Rattus norvegicus: one gene and its partner. The protein of the gene in region 1 purifies or fractionates together with the protein of each later gene. This does not show direct contact. Links are inferred from orthologs where the notes say so. Each region holds a gene or a part of one and is shown on either strand. Other genes may lie near its edges.

What was found.
Region 2: the proteins of Npm3 (region 1) and Nepro purify together in Homo sapiens (affinity purification with mass spectrometry; 4 studies listed by BioGRID and IntAct, with this or other methods). This does not show direct contact. The link is inferred for Rattus norvegicus from reciprocal best matches to the Homo sapiens genes NPM3 and RMP64.

The regions. Positions count from the first base shown.
Region 1 is NC_086019.1:254,540,480-254,550,364, reverse strand, and holds Npm3 (nucleoplasmin-3), read left to right. Parts: upstream 1-3,715; 5' UTR 3,716-3,759; coding exon 3,760-3,877; intron 3,878-4,162; coding exon 4,163-4,248; intron 4,249-4,473; coding exon 4,474-4,593; intron 4,594-4,705; coding exon 4,706-4,799; intron 4,800-5,127; coding exon 5,128-5,231; 3' UTR 5,232-5,238; intron 5,239-5,329; 3' UTR 5,330-5,701; downstream 5,702-9,885. UniProt on the Homo sapiens protein: Plays a role in the regulation of diverse cellular processes such as ribosome biogenesis, chromatin remodeling or protein chaperoning. Modulates the histone chaperone function and the RNA-binding activity of nucleolar phosphoprotein B23/NPM.
Region 2 is NC_086029.1:69,463,232-69,472,689, reverse strand, and holds the end of Nepro (nucleolus and neural progenitor protein), read left to right. Parts: intron 1-1,037; coding exon 1,038-1,117; intron 1,118-1,355; coding exon 1,356-1,487; intron 1,488-1,890; coding exon 1,891-1,968; intron 1,969-3,435; coding exon 3,436-3,800; intron 3,801-4,145; coding exon 4,146-4,207; intron 4,208-5,940; coding exon 5,941-6,197; intron 6,198-7,788; coding exon 7,789-8,254; 3' UTR 8,255-8,427; downstream 8,428-9,458. UniProt on the Homo sapiens protein: May play a role in cortex development as part of the Notch signaling pathway. Downstream of Notch may repress the expression of proneural genes and inhibit neuronal differentiation thereby maintaining neural progenitors.

The DNA of each region.
Region 1 (9,885 bases):
AGCCTTTAAAAATGTAAGAACACATTTTAAGACTGAACATTGTGTAGTATACATGATCTCAGAATGTGAGAATCTGAGGTAAGATTAAAATGGCTAGTCCAGGATTCATGGTGAGAATCTGACTCTAACAGTTTAGCTCTAAGCTGGTAGGAAAGTGAGTAGTTTGTCAGCCATTTTCAGAGTTAGAGGTCTGGTAATGTAGCTCAGTGGTAAAACACTTACCAAGCATGCACAGAGCACTGTCCACCCAATCCCCAAATTGTTTTTACATTTTTATACCATAGGAGATTGAATCTATGTAGGGCCTCAGTAGGAAGACACACAGAACTGTCTCTCTAGACTTTTTTTTCCTTTTTGTCCTTTTTTCTTTCGGCTTTTTGTTGTTGTTGTTGTTGTTGTTGTTGTTGTTGTTTGTTTTGTTTTTAAAGACAGTTTCTCTCTGTAGCCCTGGGTGTCCTGTAACTCTGTCCCGCCTCTGCCTCCCGGGCAGTGGGTCTAAGGGGGCATGTAGAGCTGGCCTCATCCAGGAAGAGTTTTTTACTCACTGTTGGCTAAGTATTAAGAATTTTAAAGTAGTGCTGGAGAGATGGCTCAGCAGTTATAACTGACTGCTCTTCCAAAGGTCCTGAGTTCAAATCCCACCAACCACATGGTGGCTCACAACCATCTGTAATGGGATCTGCTATGTTTGAAGACAGCTGCAGTGTACTCACACATAACATAAATCTTTAAAACAATTTTTAAAGTCAGGTTTGGTGGCATGTACATTTAGTACCAGTACTGAGGCAGGTGGATTTCTTAAGTCAAAGTCGGCCTGCTATTCTGAGTTCTAAGCCAGCCAGGGCTACAGAGTGAGACCCTATCTAAAAAACAAAAAAATACTTTAAAATATTGTTGGGCTGGGAATATAGTTAGTGCCCTATTACCACAAAGTAAATGAAAGCTGTAATAGGAAATTTAGGGATAGGTAAAACTGTTAATCTATATTAAACATGATTCATATCTGTATGATACACTTACTTATATTTAAAATATTTGTTTTATTTCTAGGCTCCCGGGGGGCTTTCTGTGAAGTAAGACCAGATGATAAAAGGATTCTGGAATTTTACAGCAAGTTAGGCTGTTTTGAAATTGCAAAAATGGAAGGATTTCCAAAGGATGTGGTTATACTTGGTCGAAGCCTGTGACATTGATGGTACTGTGAACTGTCCAAAAGTCTCTTAACTCCACCTTGTGGTTGGTGGTTGAGGTCTTCACACAGTTCAGTGTCTGGAGCGGCAGCAGATCAGCCAGTTGAATTGGAAACAAAGATGACTGTAAAACTCACCCATCCCATTTTCAGCCGCTCGCTGGTTGAGAGAAGACAGTACTGCTGCATGTCCTGTGCAGCTTGTGATGTGCTCCTCTTTGGGTCTCGTGTTAGTGCCAGGGCCTCTTACATGGGGTTCTCTAGGGAGAGGGTCTTAAATAAATGTAGTCAGCACTGTTTTCTGCATCCAGTGTGGTTGCATTTCTCACCTAAGAGCAATGAAGATCAATCACTCTCTATTCTCCTTGGTGTGCAGAGTGAAATGTCTCTGTTCTTTGGAGACATGGCTGGAATGAGAATTTAGTGAGTTTCGATTTGAGGCAATTTTTCTGCTTTTTGTAAAGCTCTGGACAGCTGTCCCCTGTGACTGGTTGGTTCAGATCGTTGTGCTTTGTTAGGGACAAATGTGCATTTGTTTGTGGCAAAGGCCTAAATTGACAAACTTGTAAATCTCTTTGTACATAGACTAGCTGTAACCTGACTGTTCTTTGTTTACTGTTTTATATATTATGTTTTTTTTTCCTTTGAAACTGAAAGGTGTTGTTTTAGGATGGCACTTTGAATAATGTAAACCAGTGAGTGGTAGATTTCCTTTCATTTGTCCTTTTCTTCCTGAGAAGTTTTGTCTTTGAAGTGCCTCCCACATCGGGATAGGCCATGACTATTTGGGGTATGAGCACCTAACTTTAACTCCCATCTGTTGGGAAGTGCGGTTACTTCTGGGAATTCACCTTAATAGCAGATCCGAATGTGAAACATTTTGACATTGTCAAGTAAGGGTCAGGGGACTGACTAGTGGTCTCATTTGCCCTTAGTACACTTGTCATTTAATCGCAAAGACCTGTTAACTACTGGTTTAATTGAATCAGTCTTTAATTCTTGCATGTTTGTATCTAATTTTTAAGAGGAAGAATAAGTATATGTTAACCATGAGTATACTTTTCTTTTACTCAGATTCCGAAAACTTCATGTATTTTAATTTAGATTTGGTGAATTTAAGGGTTTTGAGCATGAAGCTGGCAGAGAGCCTCTGCAGGATTTTTTTTTTTTTTTTTTAAATCATGGCTAGCTAGTAACTAGATTTTCAACAGTATTTTGTTACCTTGCTTTCCTCCAGTTTTACATCAGCTTTTGAACTTTTGAGCTGAGGAGGGAGAGAGAAAAGGAAGCTTGAAACATTTTCTTTTATAGAACTCCAGTGTGAGCTTGTGATATAGTTTTACGTTTAGCACTCTTTATAGTGGACCCAGTGACTTGCACCAGAAGCCCGGGTGTGTGTTGAAATAAGCCACCTCATTAGGGTACAAACCTTTGATAGGATGTATTGGAAAACTTAAAATCAAGTTTGGTTTTGAAGGCTGGGGTGAAGGGCAAAATTGTTACTAGGTGTTAAGACGGTTTAATGTTCCTCTTTCCGAATACATCCCATGCCTTAGTGGGAATTACAACATTTGGAGGATTTCAGAGTTTCATACTGAATCAGGAATTTTAAACAAGTTGCTTTTTGTTTAATGTTGGCTTTCAGTAATCACTTGGGATGATCTTCTGGACATAACTGAAAACCTGCCCAGGTCTGTGCTGTCATCGCTGTAGGCTAAGTGCTATGCCATCTTCCATGGTTATGAATATTTACTGAGGTTGGAATAAGTTCATTGATTGTTTGGATCACAGCTCAGTTCCTATAGTAAAAGAACTGTAAAACTATCTGCACCATGCAAGAGGCACAATAAAACTTGAAGAGAATATGTGTGGTGTGCTGCCTTTTCTCCGGTTTCTCCCATCTTTTTTTCCTCACATCTGATCCCTCAAGTATCCAAACCTATTTCAATGTAGACTGGATTTTAAAGACAGCCCTTCCCTCCTGCCTTCCACAGCAAAGATTTTTCTCAGAAAAGTGCGTTTAAGTAAGTTGCTCTCTTACTACAGTTAAAGTTTATGTGAAGTAGAGGGATGTCTCACTGAGTTTCTCTATGGAATGGCATATGGCTTGACCTTAAATGGAGGAATATTGGAGGGGTCGGGGGATCGCCTAAGTGGAGGCTGTAATAGGAACAGTAGTTGGTTCCCACATCTGAGCTTCCGACTTTCCTGTCAAGCCTCCATCAAGATCAAGAAGCTTATGTAGTGGCTAATTTGGGTGGGAATCCCTGGGAGAAAGTAAAAATGGCTGCTCCGTACCCCAAGTTTACTGGGAAAGGAGATACGAAAAGTTTGCACCGACATCTCCATATTCCCGGGTTGGAAGAAAGGGGTTCAGTGAATGGACGCTGACTTTGAAGTCCGAGTGAAAATTTCTTCTGAGGCCTTGGGGAAGAGGCGACAGCTGCTCTCACGCCAGTGCGGCGTTTCACGTGCCTCGCGCCACGCGGCGCCTTTAATGGGCGGGGCCGGAACTGGCAGAGGTGCGGCGTTCGGTGCGTGGGGGGCGGGGCTCTCACGGCCGTTTCAGCATGGCCGCCGGCGCCGCGGCTGCTTTGGCGTTCTTGAACCAAGAGAGCCGAGCCAGGGCTCGGGGCCTCGGGGGCCTGAGGGTTCCGGCTCCGGTCACAATGGATAGTTTCTTCTTCGGTATTGAACACGGGAATGGAAGAGTGGTACGGGGTGGGTGAGGCGTCGGGCTGAGGAACGCGGCTGGGCGACGTGGGTGTGGGCCGAGGGCGCCTCGCTTTCCCTAACCCTTCGCGGCCTGTACGGGCCGAGAGACGCCGGTCCACGTGTTCTAGGCGAGTAAACGGCCCGTCACTCCCCGGCAGCACACGACCGGGTGGAGGGGACAGCGGAGTTTGTGAAACGCCCCCGCGCTCTGTCCTCTCCACGAGTGCTCCTCTCAGGCGAACGCACTGGCTCTTGCAGGTTGTGAGCTCTCCAGCCACACCCGCTCCTTTACTTTCAAGGTTGAGGAAGAGGATGATACAGAACATGTGCTGGCTTTGAACATGGTAAGGGGGTGCAGAGGGAGTTGGAGATGCGGGGGTCTCGCGGACACTCGCTTATCTCCCCTCTCCCCCACCTTCGGATTGAGAGTCACTTGTGGCTACCCTCAAAGGGCTACGTCTCTGGTCCCCCCATCGGGTACCACTGAGACTAGGCAGCTTTTAGGGCAAGATGCCTTCACCTTGGTGTCCGCCCTCACTTGAGACGCAGGGGTTCTGTATGCCTTTCAGCTGTGCCTTACCGAGGGTGCCAAGGACGAGTGTAATGTGGTGGAAGTTGTGGCCCGCGATCACGACAATCAGGAGATTGCAGTTCCTGTGGCCAACCTCAGGTTGTCTTGCCAGCCCATGGTGAGTTGTAGCCGTCCATTCGTTGGAGTATGTTGGGGATTGAGAACTTCAGTATTAATCTCAAAATGGATGGACCAGAATGAATTAGGCTTTCATCCTTCTTGTCTTCCAGCTCAGTGTAGATGACTTCCAGCTCCAACCACCTGTAACGTTCCGCCTCAAGTCCGGTTCTGGCCCTGTGCGGATCACTGGTCGGCATCAGATCGGTGAGAGGAGTGGGCCCTCTCCTCCCTCACTCTCCACTCCTGACTTTTACCCCAGCCTCATGGTTCAGTTTTATGTGCCTCTCATTGCCTCAGTCAGGCCTGTGAACTTCCTGGACCCCTCCCCAGGTGTCCAGCCCCAGCGGTGTGGGTGGGCTCTTTTGGGTTTTGGGCTCCCCCCCCCCCCCAGTTCAATTACTGAGCTTCTTCCCATGTAGACTTAGGAACTCTGGAAGATGAGGTTCCCTGTCAGCCTAGCAGCACGGGGCACTGAATAAGTGACCTGTGGTGTTTGGCTTTAACCTTCTGTCTTCCTGTGTGTATCCACCAGTTTGTATAAACAACGATCTTTCTGAAGAAAGTCCGGATGAGAGTGAAGATGAAATTAAGCTGTGTGGAATCCTTCCTGCCAAAAAGCATAGGGGCAGGCCTTAGCCCTCTGGTGAGTAGGAGGGGAGGGGGTTCCAGCAGGATCTGGGAAGTTAAGGGAGAGGTGAAGCCGAAGACACTGATTTCTTTCTTGCTTTTCTCAGGTCAGGGAGCTGCTTGCTACAGGTGCCATGTTCCATGTGTCCCTGGACAAGTTCAAGGATGGTTTTCTCGCTGAAGAGGATGGTTTAGGAAGGGGGTGGGTGGGAGGGACTTAGGCTGGTCTGAGAGACCAGTCATTCTCCTTAGGGTCCTGTGGTTCCTGAAGTTTCCCTTTTCTTCTGGAATGGGGATGACCTTTGAACACCTCTTATAACCCACCTACCCAGACTAAAAGTTTTGTAAAGCCCCAGGTTCAATCCCCAGCACTACAAAACAAAACAAAAAAAAACCACCATGAAGTTCAGAGCACATTTTTAACACTTTTTACATTTTTAGATAAATATCTAAATAAAGTGGTGTATGGTTTTTTGCAATCCTTGTGTGGCTTTTTTCAATGCTGAGATGACATTTCCCTAGGGACCACCAGGTGGCACTGTGGCAGCACAAAGGTTGGCCTAGTAGGTCTTGTGCTGGTGAAGTGTGGGATCGTATTCCCCAGGGCTTTGGGCCCAAAGCGGGCTTGAGTTCCTCACCCTTGCAGCAGAGGGACCTCCTATTCCAGCCTATCCCATGTTCCTGCAGGTGGGGGAGGGAGGGCCATTGCAGGAGGTTATCAGCTTCCAAACAAGGGGCCTGGGCCTCTGTCAGCACTCAGGTTGATGGGCAGAGGGACAGATAAGTGGGCTTAAGAAACCTGAGGAATGTGCATCCCTAACCCCATGAGGGGCTCAGCCCAAAGAGAGGGCCTGTGAGGGTGGGGACCAGCCTCTGGTCTGGTCTTTTGAGGTAGGTCGAGTAGAGCAGGGGCCTTAGAAACCTGATTCCCAGGGCCAGATGGAGGGAACTGGCCAGATTGGGTGACAGGGAAACCAGAATCCGGGTGGCCTGGCATATGGGGGCAGAAAGGAGCCCATGGGAATCAACCTCCTCTGCTGAGGGGTTACCCCTCCCCTCTGCCCCCAGCGCGCTGTCATACTGCCTTATCCCTAGAATGAAGTGGTTCTTGGGTCTGGCTACTGTTATGCCAGGAAGAGAAACGGGGTTGCTTGTGTGAGGACTATCCACCCTGGGGTCAGCAGTTCAGCAGTGTTGATGGGTTAGGATGGGTGGGGATCAATGCCTTACAAACAAACAAAAGGTTACTTCTCCAGACAAGCTGAAGACTGACAGAGAACAGAGTCCGAGAATCAGGCCAATTCACACCAGCTGACCAACAACTAGGAGGCCTCTCCATAATACAAAGAAGTTGGGTTGAGCTCAGTGTGTTGACTTCAAGAGTGTCCCCTACAATAGAGGAAAGCGGTACCTAACCCAAATGTGGTAGCACCGGAGAGGAGACAATTGGAAACGAGTTCAGCTTGGGCTCCCCCCATGGAGGTTAGGAGGGAAAGGAGGAAGTGGCTCCTCCTGACGGCAAAAGTTTTCCCCCAATCTATGTGATGAGTCAGGGGTAAATTTTCAACCTCCCTTGTTCAAGTGAGAGGTGCCTTTCTGTGTTTCAAGAAGCAGGGTTGCGGGTGCCTTTTCAAGAGTCCAGTACCTTCCAGGTGTTTCCACCACCGGCCCTGGCTAGGGGCCATTAGCAGAGTGCCGACCTGGAGGGGAAGACGAAACTAGCGCCCTCTGGTGGGCGTGTTTAAAACTGCTCGTGATCGTACCGCTGTAGGAGGCAGAATAGGAGGGAACAAAAGTTTTGAATGCATATATGTTTTCATTCACACGGAGCGCCCGCGCTAGAGGAGAAGAGTTAGGTGGAGGCACTCACTTTTCCTACTACCTTTCAGCTCCTGCCCCCAACTCTTTGATACCTGCTTAAGTGCAGCGAAGAGCCACCTCTCCCGGAAGCCTTCCAAACTTACTCGCCTAGCCCACGCTCACACTCCCCCACCATCAGTGTACCCCCTGTGACTCCACTGATCGCCCATTGTATTTCTCGCCTGTTTTCCTGGCGGGTGAACTAGGAGCACAGCCCTGCCCGCAGTGGGAGCCCAATCCACATTTGCCTGCTAGTTCAGGAGTTTCCCCGGCCCCTTGCGGCGCGGTACAGACAGACCTGAGAATTGTTTTTTCCTTCTTTCCAGATCACACCTTTTCGGGATACCCCTTTTCTGCACTCTCAGCACACAACAGGAGTGCTGCCAGTTATCTGGCCTCGGAGAACTTGCGGGATGTAGGCATAAGATGGTGTCTAGAGAATGCTTGAAAGAAGGGGGTTGGGGAACAGACGAGAAGAACCGCAGCTTTCTGTCGCGGTTCGAAGTGGCTGACACAGACGCAGAGATTTGCATTTGAACTATGCTGATAGAGTCTGTGGCACATTGAACGCTGGGCACTGGAGGCGCGCAATATTGTGACCTGCAGGCATGGTGGCCTGGGTGTGGATCTGGGGGTGGGGGGGCTGGGGCCGGGTGAGGGGTGCGTTTGGGTCCGGGCGACTGCATGTTTGCAGAGAGGGCCGTTTGTGTTGGCAAAGAGTGTGTGTTTGTGTTTGTAGGAGGGAGTGTGTGCATGTGTGTGTTTGTGTTTGCAGAGTGTGGGGGCGGCAGGGAAAGGTGGCCAGGCTGTCACTCAGAGATCAGGATGACAGGCGCTCCCTCATCTAGGCGCGGGAGCTCTGATTGCAGATTCGAGGAAACAAAATAGCAATTGTAATTACGGGGCTTTGATAAGATAAAGGAAGGAGGGAGCTGGCCAGGAGGCAGGCTAGCAAGGGAGGGAGGGAGAGCGGCCTGCGGGAGCCCGATGGAACATTTGCATCTGTCAGTCACCGCCTGCTCTGGGTGCCCACTGTGGGGGAGGCATATCTATCCTTGGCTCCCCCAAAGACAGGAAATTTTGGGGAGTTGAGAAGGATCCAGAAGATCTAGGTTAAGCTCTAATGAGTTCATAGGAGTTTTCACATGTAAAAGAATTTGGTCTCTCAGAGGTGGGAGGCAGAGTTCAAAAGTAGGAGTAAAACCCTGACCTGGGACCTTTTCTGAGGGGATGGGGGTGGGGGTGCTGGTGTCTCCTGAGGGCGAGGGAGGTGATTTGCAGATGGGCAGATGGTGAATCAATAAGGTTCAACTCTGGAGGATCCATAACTCAGGTGCTCCACCACACACACACACACACACACACACACACACACACACACACACACACACACACACACTCTCTCTCTCTCCTGGGAGGAACCAGAACCCAGACTCTACTGACAGGCTGCTTCCCTACCTGTGTTTTGTTCCTCAAACTTATTTTCTATTTTTTCCTTTTCTTTTCTTTTTTTCTTTCTTTTTTTTTTTTTTTTTTCCGGAGCTGGGGACTGAACCCAGGACCTTGCGCTTGCTAGGTAAGTGCGCTACCACTGAGCTAAATCTCCAACCACTCAAACTTATTTTCAAAGTGTTGTGTCCATAGTGAAGAGAGGGCTCTTCCTTTACAAGTGGAGCCCGTCCTTTGCTTTCCATCACTCAGTAATAAATTCAAGAATAAACACTCTTATGATCCACATATGAAGTAAATTCTGTGAGCAAACAGACATCATCTCTGCCAGCTTGGAGCAATGCAAAAATAGACAAATAAATAAATAATTAAAGACAAGTCATCCCAAAGGCCCCTCTGCAAAGCACATGGGGAAATAAAAAAGAGGATGGACTTTGCTGAGGACCCTGGAGCCTCTCTAGCCCATTTTCCCCTTCATAGACTCACTTTGGGGGGGGGGGGTGTTGAAAGGAGCTATTACCTGCCAAACTACTGACAAATGCAGGCTACCTTCCGTTGGCAGGTGAAGCTAAGTCTCCTTGAGAAGTCACCGTGGGTGGAAGACAGTCTAAATGCTCAGTCAGGTTGTCCCCATCCATCCATCTAACCAGCACTATCTGCAGAGCAACTCTGCCCCATCCTTGAGCCTGTAAGACAAATCCCTCACCTACTGGTCTGTGTGGATCAAAACAGAAAGGATTTGTGAGGAGAATCAACTCTGGGCTCAGGAAATCTACTTCTCTGAGGAAGGCTGAGCCTGACTCCTAGGAACCCGTGACATGGAAAAAAATATGCGTGTGTGTGTGTGTGTGTGTGTGTGTGTGTGTGTGTGTGTTCGCGCGCGGGGAGTGGGGAAATACGGAATGGAGGAAAGGGGGTGGAAGGCAGAACCAGATGCTTGCCTCTCCTTAGCCTACCAGGACTTCCTAGGGCCACCTCAAACCCCTAGTTCCACTCCAGAGGCACAGAGGGGTCGGTAGAGAGGAGACTGTAGCTGACAGCAGCAGCTGGGTGGCACATCAAGAAGTCACTTGTTCTTCGAAAATACCTGGCCTGAGAAATCTCTGCCTACCCAGGTTGTGCCCACAGAAATAAAATAATGGCTCAGGGTTCCCAGAAGCCCTATGAAGAAAGCAATGAGGTGAGGAGCTTGGAGAGGCTTACAGAAGTCTCTGCCTTCTCACCAGCACTTCCCCTCTTCCAACTGACACAAGACACCAAGGAAAACCTGGAACTCGGAGGGCGAAAGGCTAGGTAGCTTGGCTCCATGCCCTGAATGTTGCTGAATGTAGTTATTTCTTTCTTTCTTTTTTTT
Region 2 (9,458 bases), on another chromosome or scaffold:
CTTCCTCCCTTCCCCTCCCCCAAAACCATATTTCACTCACTATTTTCCAAGTGTATTACTGTCTTGGACTGTCAATAACTATCTTAAAAGATGGTGTCCAGACTTAGGAATTAAAAAGCCAGCCCCAGTGAATTAAGGATTGAGCTCTGCTGAAGTAGGACCCATAAGTCTGATTTGGTTCTTAGTGGTATATATGTAGCTCTAACAAGATGACAGCACTGACCAGTACAATTCCCATCATCCTTTGACGTGTGGGTGCAGTCCAGGGAGTGCCCTGGGTGGGTGTTCCTGACACCTAGAGAATTCATACAGCATTTTGTATTCTACGTGGCTTTTTCTCCCCACCCTCCACGAGAACCTACTAACCCCTGTTCTAATAACTGGATTATGCTCGTGAGCAAAACGGACAAGTTCTATTCTCCATCGGGAGTTTATAGTATAGTTTGGAGAAAAGGGCAGGCAGTCAGTGAGTGGTATACCAACTGGTAAGAAGTGCTATAAGGAAAAGCAGAGAAGGGGGGATTGCAGTGTTAAGTAAAGCATATCCATTTTAGCATTTAGTTAAGTACTTGGTATATTATCTATCTTTATTACTAGAAGTTGGAACGTATCATATACTACGTCATTGCCTAGCATATCTTGCACATAGTAGGTGTTCAGAATAGTTGTTCTGTGACTAAGTCACCTTCATGTCTGGTGCTTATAGACTATTGAAACTGAGTTAAGAGTTTGCTTTCTTGTTTTACTAGCCTCACTGCTGTAAATCTGCTCCCTCAACAAATTATAATATTGAGACTTACATTAATGTTGGTCACTTTACAGCATCGAGCACACTTGGCATGTAGTAATCTTCTTGAATTGAGAAATGTGTTGGGTGGGTGAGATTGTTTTGGGGTGGGTCCCCTAGGCCTTAAATGGGAAGCCTTCTGTGGCATATTTCCATACCATGAAGTGCTTTGCTTTCTTTGTGTTCTTGGTGGTCTCTGTAACATTGTTATGTATACACATACTAATTTGAGCTGTCCTTCCTCCTTCAGGTAGAACAGTGCTTAAAACGATTGAAACACATGAATTTGGAGGGCTCCATTGAAGACCTGTCACAGTTGTTGTCCGCCAAGTAGGTGGTCCATTGCTCTGTCTGAGCACTCTTTGGTATTCTCTGGCATGTTGTGTTTTAGTGAGGGGAACCTGTGGACTGATGGGCGGTACTGGTGGGACACTGAATTGGGGCTCACAGTGGGTTGCAGTGAAAGAAGAGTGGAATGCTAGTGGGCGTAACCACCTCAGGCTGAATACCGCTGTAGAAACGATGTGTTTAGAGATTGACAGTCTTGTCCTTTTCTGTGTATGTCAAGTAAAACTCAGCCTGGAGCTACCGAAAACCGTGTGGTGCCCAGCCAGCCGGTGATGGAGGTGGTGCTGATGAAGGTTTTGGGAGGCTGCAAGTTGTTGCTGCGCTTGTTGGACCGCTGCTGCAAGACGTTTCTGTATCCTTGACTATGGGAATGCCTTCTTTTGAGTGGAAGCTATTTGGGTATATTGGGCTTCTGTTCAAATGCTGTGCTCTTAAAGCAGTGTAACCTGTGGGGAATCTTGACGCTTTGCCTTTGGCTCCTCTTCCAGCTATTGCTGGCATGGCTGGTGCCAAGGACTCCATGTCTCTACCTAGCATGTATTCTAAGGACCTTTAGAAATTCTTACTCTCAGACTCTGTCACAATAGGAGCTCTAGTAGAATAGATATTTTTGCTTTTAGTGTAATGTGACTTCATTGCCATGTTAGGGCTTTACTATCTTCAGAGCTTTCTTATAAGTTCTTTCTTTCATAATTGTAACCTACAAATCTTAAATTCCCTTGGTTCTGTTTTCCACCTTAAACTGAATTCTTCAGGTTGACTGTGAAGCACTTAGGGCTACGCGAGTTCATTATTTTGAACCTTGTGATGGTTGGGCTGGTGAGCAGGTTATGGTACGTTCACATTTCTGCATTTGTGTTTCATCTTTACCTGACTCAAGTTTCTTGTTAGTGTTCACACAGTCTGTTGCCTTGGGAACTGAAGGTGCAGGCTTCCCTTTCTTCCCACGATGGTTGGTTTTCACATTGTCGGCTGGGTAGTTATATCAGAGGGCTTTTCTTCTGAAACCTTCACCTTGAGACCGAGTAGCTCAGAAAGTGATTTCCTAGGACCTAGGACCTAGGAACTATAATAATATTTGATAATGATATAATAATAATAATAATAATAATAATAATAATAATTATTATTATTATTATAATGGTGGCAGTAGTAATATTGCAGTTGGCTTTTGAAAGAGCAGCTGTTCCTGGACTGACCATATCTTGGTTCTTTAACAACTGGTTGTTAATTTTAATAGAAATTAGAAACACAATTTGACCTTCCTTGTATGCTCTAGGCTTCTCTTCTGCCTGACACTCTGATGCTTTTGAGCCATATTTGGTTGATAGAAATAATACTTGCAAGATTTATAAACTAGAAAAAAAGCATTTCCTTGTGTGTGGTGTGTGTGTTTGTGCATACAGTGGTTTGATGGATAACTAGGCACAGAATTGGATCATTAGTTCTGATTTTAGCAAAACTGTCAAAACAACAGAGACAAACCCACAAGATTCTTCCTACTTTCAAATATAAACCTTGCTTCGATGTCTTAACCCAGATACCTTATTTGAATTTTCAGTCATCTTTTTGTTCTGCTTATTCTTTTTTTTTTTTTTAAGATTTATTCATTTATTATATATAAGTACACTGTAGCTGTCTTCAGACACACCAGAAGAGGGCATCAGATCTCTTTAAGATGGTTGTGAGCCACCATGTGGTTGCTGGGAATTGAACTCATGACCTCTGAAAGAGCAGTCGGGTGCTCTTAACCACTGAGCCATCTCTCCAGCCCCTGCTTATTCTTTTTAATTAATAAATAAGTTAATTTTTTTAACATCCAGACTGAAGTTTGCTCTCTCTCCTCTCCTCCTTCCCACCCTCAATCCCCTATCCACTCTTCAAAAAAGGGCCAGCCTCCATGAATATCAACCAGCCATGGCGTATCAAGTTACAGTAAGACTAGGTACCTCCTCTCCTGTTAAGGCTGGAGCAGGCAACCCAGTAGGAGGAAAGGGTCCCAATAGCAGGCGACAGAGACGGGGACAGTCCCTGCTTCCACTGTTAAGTCTCAAACTCTAACATATGTGCGGAGGCCTAGGTCAGTCCCATGTAGGCTCCTGGTTGTCAGTTCAGTCTCTGAGCCCCTATGAGCCCAGGTTACTTGATTCTGTTTCATGTGGCGGCTTTGACCCCTCTGGCTCCTACCCTTCTTCCTCTATATATCTCTCCATTAGTTTATTCTGCTTATTCTTAATCAGAAGTAATAGCATTTGAATTACGAATATTTTATATATATAAAGAGCTTCTGTTTCTTCTAGGGTTCTCCATAAAGGACTCTTGCGACGGCTGATTTCCTTATATGAGCCATTGCTTGGATTGCATCAGGAGATCTCCAGGATTCAGCCCATGCCTTACTTCAAAGATTTTGCCTTTCCCTCCAACATCACTGACTTTCTAGGCTCCTCTTACCTTGATATCTTTAAGGGAAAAACCCCTGCATCTTTTGCTCCTAAAGGAGTAACTAAGCTGCTAAATAAACTGTTTTTAATGAAAGAGCAACTATCAGAGACCAATGGAGACACCTTGGATAAACTTTCCCAACCATGTGAACAAATGAAAAGCAGCCCACAGAGCAGCGTGGACCTGGGGCAGCCAGTGAAAGCGTGTAAAAGGACCCGAAAAGGTGAGCTGCTTAGACAAGCACAGACTTTTCTTTATTTCCTTTAAACTGCGTTTATCTATTTCTATCTTTTCTTTCTTAAATACATACTTATAAAATACGCCTTTGAAAGCATGATATAGTCGTGCATTGTGTAGAAATTCAGAATCTCACACTGATTACGTTTAGGGAGGTGTGAGTGTTACCAGTTCTCACAGCTCGGCTTCTGGTTCCTTCATGGTGCCCTGCTTTATTCTCTTCATTTCCTTTATAGGAACTTGGCAGGAAATGTCATGTAGTTAAGACGTTGTTGGAGGTTTGAAAGTAACATGGCTGAGTTTTTCTGTCTTTTGTTTTCTAATTCCACAGAAAAGCCATTGGGATTTGACGTGCGGGCTTTCTGCACAAGACTCCGAAACAAAGCTACTCAGGTCTGTCTGGTTAACCTCATAGCTTTTCACTTCTGCCAGGTTTAGAGGAAGCTCCTCAGTGGGGAGGGAGGTAGAGTCTGCTCTAATAAGCTTGATTGCACTCAGTTCTTGGTCTGTGCTGCTTAATGAAGAAGTTCGCTTTGTTGTTATTGCTGTATTTTATTTCTTCTTTCCTGCCATTGCTTCTTTTTTTTTAAATTTTACACTCCAGATTTTATTCCCCTCCTGGTTCAGCCCCCCGACTGTTCCACATCCCATACCTCCTCCCCACACCCCTGTCTCCACGAGGATGTCCCCACCCCACCAGATCTCTAAACTCCCAGGGGCCTCCAGTCTCTTGAGGGTTAGGTGCATCTTCCCTGACTGAACCCAGACCCAGGAGTCCTCTGCTGTATGTGTGTTGGGGGCCTCATATCTTCTGGTGTATGCTGCCTGGTTGGTGGTCCAGTCTCTGAGAGATCTCGAGGGTCCAGGTTAATTGAAAGGGCTGGTCCTCCTATAGGGTTGCCCTCCTCCTCAAGAAGCTGGCTTTTCAATGGTCCTAGTTAGTCCAGTTAGTGGGGTGTATTCAGAAGTGCTTTACTAGGCATGCCTTTGGGATCTCCAAGCAGTCTTATGGCCTGCCCTAAATACGGATGGTGAGCACTTTAAAAGCATGGGCTTTGTACTTGCTGGAACGCTCGCCCCACTCCGTATTAGCTGTGTGGTCCCTGACCTCTCTATACTTCCCTTCTCCACTCCATGCATCTCTCAGTCTGGGCTAGTACGTGTGTTAGGTGGGTCTCGTGTGTGGTAAGCATTCAACTGATGCCAGATGTTAGTGGCAGTCATTGGTCTTGTCTCCCTCCTCATTTGTCATGAGGCATCAATCCTTTTGGGAGTTCAAGCTTTACACGATACCTTATATTAGCGTCAGAAAATGGTTCTGGACTTCATGACTAAGTACATCAGTGTCACCTGTCACCCAGTAACCGCTTGACTTTTGTTACCATTGTCTGGTTTCCTTTTATTTACAAACTCTTACTTCTAAGAACCCGCAGTTCTTTATTGAACTTTTAAACACAGATGGCAGTTCGCATTTTTATCTTGCTCAACTCATAAATTCAGAAGGAGGAAAAAATTCTTTAGCAGATCCTTTAAGCCCCTGACGATATCTTAAATGCTTTAGCATTAACCACTAATCCTCAGAAAAACTCTGTAAGAGAAACTCTTGACTTACTGCTTTCATATTTCAAGAGGGGAAACTGAGGCAGAATTTGAAAAAAAAAACTTTAAAAGGGCTGGGGATAAAGGCCACTCGCCAAGTATTTACAAGGGCCTAAGTTCAGTCTTCAGTAAAGAAAATAAAGTAAAAAATAAAAATGACCTCCCTGATAAACAAAGAAGAAAACAAGGGAGGATATCATTGTGGAAGACTTGGGATTTCCCCCATCATTAGACTTTGACAAACCGTTTAATCGGTTTTAGTGTGTGGGTAGATGTGTTACATATGTGTGTATCTATCTTGGGTTTTCTGTGTACACTTCACTAAAGGGCAGATAGGACTTGCCTCGGTAGAAGGGTAAAAAGGGAAGTGTTAGGAGAATGGATAAAAGAAAAGGTTGATGGATTATAAGTGTCCTTAAAAATTATTTTAACTTTTTAATGGCCCAGCTTTTCAAAACTGTTTTCCTTTATTTAAAAGTCACTACTACTGTTTTCAATATCTTTTTTCTCTTCTTTTTACACTTCAGGAGACCAGCCAACAGTTTAAATATTCCCAATCCAAACCGAAGACAACCAAACTTTCCTCTCAGAAATTGAGAACTCACTGGGCTAATGATACTGTGCAAAGAATCCGAATGACCAAGACATTCACCCAACTTTCTGAAGAAATCCAAATGGCAATTGCGTGGTCCCGGAGCAAAAAGCTCAAGGCTCAGGCCATCTATCTGGGCAACAAACTTCTTAAGACTAATAGGCTTAGACATGTGGAATCTCAAGGTTACAGGTAATTACATTAGAAAAATTCCTTTCCCATTTCAGTGAGGAAGTGTACGCATGTGCATTACCTACCTTGTTTAAAATCTCCCAGCTCTTGAGGTGCTAGAACAAGACAAGTACAGTTTCATGTGTTGCTAACGTTATCTGGGCAGTTGTGTCAGGAGAAAGTGACAGTTGTTTGGAATCCTTACACCATGTCATTCCCACTGGCTCATTTCAGAAAGCCTTAGATTACCTCTGGTGTTCAAAACCTGGTGCTGACAGCATGGGGCAGCCTTAGTCCTCAGGAGCTCTGTTCTTGTGGGCGGTGGCCTTCTGTAGATACGGCAGCAGCACAGCCGGCTGAGGATGTGAGGGAAGTGTGTCTGCCTGTGAGGCCCACACAGGCTGCAGGAACAGTCGCTTAGCCCCTCACATTGAGAGATTCAGTTTATTGTGGGTCTTACAAAGATAGAACAGTTTAGGGTTGTGAGGAAACAGATCATGATGATGAACAGTTAGCAAGAGGGGTAACAAACAGGTCTGTTGATTAAGTGGTAGTCTCTACTTCCCAAAATATGTTGACTATATTGCCCTATTGCTGTTTCAGTAATACATCTTTTTTCCTATGGAACACTTTGTAAAACATTAGAGTTCACAGTATTCTGGAAGGTGGGCAGCATTGTTCCATTCATACATGGAGAGATGGTTTTCAGTATTCTGGAAGGTGGGCAGCATTGTTCCATTCATACATGGAGAGATGGTTTTCAGTATTCTGGAAGGTGGGCAGCATTGTTCCCATTCATACATGGAGACATGGTTTTGTTCAAGCTGTTGGCCCTGGAGAGCTAGGACTTATTTCAGGTCCTCCCATTATTATTTTTGTTTCAACTCAGAGATGCACCCACATTTTACTCAATGCAAAGTCAGTGCTTCTAGTCATGGCTGGGAAATCGGGGTCCTAAATTGCTTATTAATATATATTAATATATAATTTTATTTCTTTAAAGTAAGAGCAGAGGGACTTGGCTTAGGCACATAGACCTATATTAATCTTTACCAACAGTTATGAGGTGCGAGGCAAATGCCAAACGTATGAGGTAAGTTCTGACTGCAGGGGATACAGAACAACTCCCAGGACACCTCACAGGGGTCAGTTTGTCTTTGCTAGATGACCCCTCGTTATTTTCATTCCTTCCCCCTGTTCGTTTCCTGCTACAACATGAGCTTAGCCAGAAGTGGATTCTGACACACCACAGAGCTTTTAATTTGTGATATTTTGCCATTTCCACTCTTGTTTACCTAGAAACAGATTATCAGCACGAGGGAAAGGCTATGGCTCTTAAGTGTGAACAAGGTCACACCAGATGTGTCCTTGCTAGGCAGTCATGAGAGTTACTTTAGGGCAAAATGGAGGCACATCTGCCTGTATCCTGAATCAGAGAGGGAATCTGAAAAAATGCTCTTAGGTTGAAACTCCCATTTCCTTACATATATACAGGCCTAGGACTTGTAATAAATTGTGTACTCTTCTGTTGACAGTTGGTGGAGACAGTTAAAAGTGCTTGAGAACTTTTTAGTATCATAATAAGTTGAGATTTCTCTCTTTTGTTCTTTAGTTTGCCGAAGAAGCTTCAGTGCATGAAAACATCTCTTTGCAAGGGCCTTCTCCGAGGCTTCAGTGTCAGCACTTCAAAGCACCCTCCCAGACAAAGAAGATCAAAGTATAAAGTTTTATCAAGACAAAGGAAACCACAGAGAAAGTTACAGTCAACTCTTATAAAGGAAACCCAGCAGGTCCCTGAAGGGACTCTGAAAACCACTAGGGACAGCAGTGCTAAGAAGAGATGCTCTGGTGGGACAGTTCAGAGGTCAGATGTCTGTCTGAATGGAGAGCAGGTCTTGAGCAAACTTGCAAAGCCTGACCTAAAAGCTAAGAAGATGGGGGTCCATGGGAATCTGAGAGGGGGCGGTGGAAGTGAAACCGGCCTGCGGACGAAGAGACAGGTGCACATGCACAGTGCGCCAGGCACCGCTCAAGAGGCAGATGACATTGATGATATTTTTGCTTTGATGGGAGTTTAGATGTACTTAGGTGAAACTTCTGAGCAGTTAACAAGCTGGTCCAGTGTTCTGCTGTTTTAAGGGGTATTGCTAAGATCTGGAAACACTGCTTAGGCTGAGAGCTGCGTCTGTGCAGTATTCCAGTGTGTGCATTCCAATTCAATAAACATTGACAGCAGCGTTGTGTAAGTTAATCAGATGGTGAGTATTTGGCTTTGACTGTGCAAGGTGGTAAATATGATGAATGGCCTGCCCCTGGGGAACGCACCCTTCATGACTGAAACAAGTAGGTTTCTCAATATCAGATGACTTTATGATCTACTATGGCATTAAAATCTGGAATTATTTCACAAAATCTTATGTATCTGAAGGTAAACAGAACAAGGTTGGCATAGCAGAGAAACATCATGTTTTTAAGGTTTTTACATTTTGTGCATGGGTACGTACTTATGTGTGGATATCAGACAGTAACATACATGAATATGGGTATCGGAGGGTAACTTCTGAGAGTTGGTTCTGTTCTTTTACCTCTGGGTCCAAGGGGTGGTGTCCTAGTTAGTGTTTTGCTGCTGTGAACAGACACCATGACCAAGGCAAGTCTTATAAAGGACAACATTTAATTGGGGCTGGCTTACAGGTTCAGAGGTTCAGTCCATTATCATCAAGGTAGAAGCATGGCAGCATCCAGGCAGGCATGGTGCAGGAGGAGCTGAGAGTTCTGTATCTTGTTCCGAAAGCAAACAGAAGACTGGCTTCTAGGCATCTAGGAGGAAGGGCTTAAAGCTCACACCCACAGTGACACATCCACTCCAACAAGACCACACTTAATAATAGTGTCGCTCCTTGGGCCAAGCATATTCAAGCCATCACAGGTGGAATTCAGACTGTCAGGCATAGCATCATGTGTTTACCCATGGGCTGAGCCATCTCACCTGCCCAGGTCATCCTTCTGAATAACATGTGAGTGTATGCTATGTTGTTAAAATGAATTATCAAAAGTTTTTCCATTACTCAAATGGTTAAAACCATTATTTAATCTTCATTTTGTCACTGTTACTCCTAAGGGGGTATATGAGAAGACTTTTGGTGTTTTCCTTTTTATTGTTCCTATGAAGCACAGCAAAAACGTAGCTAAGTAAGTGTTTGCCAGGAATAAGGCCAGTCATGAATTTGTCACCTGCTATCAATGCCATCACCTGATTATTTGTACATAGTGTACAACTGA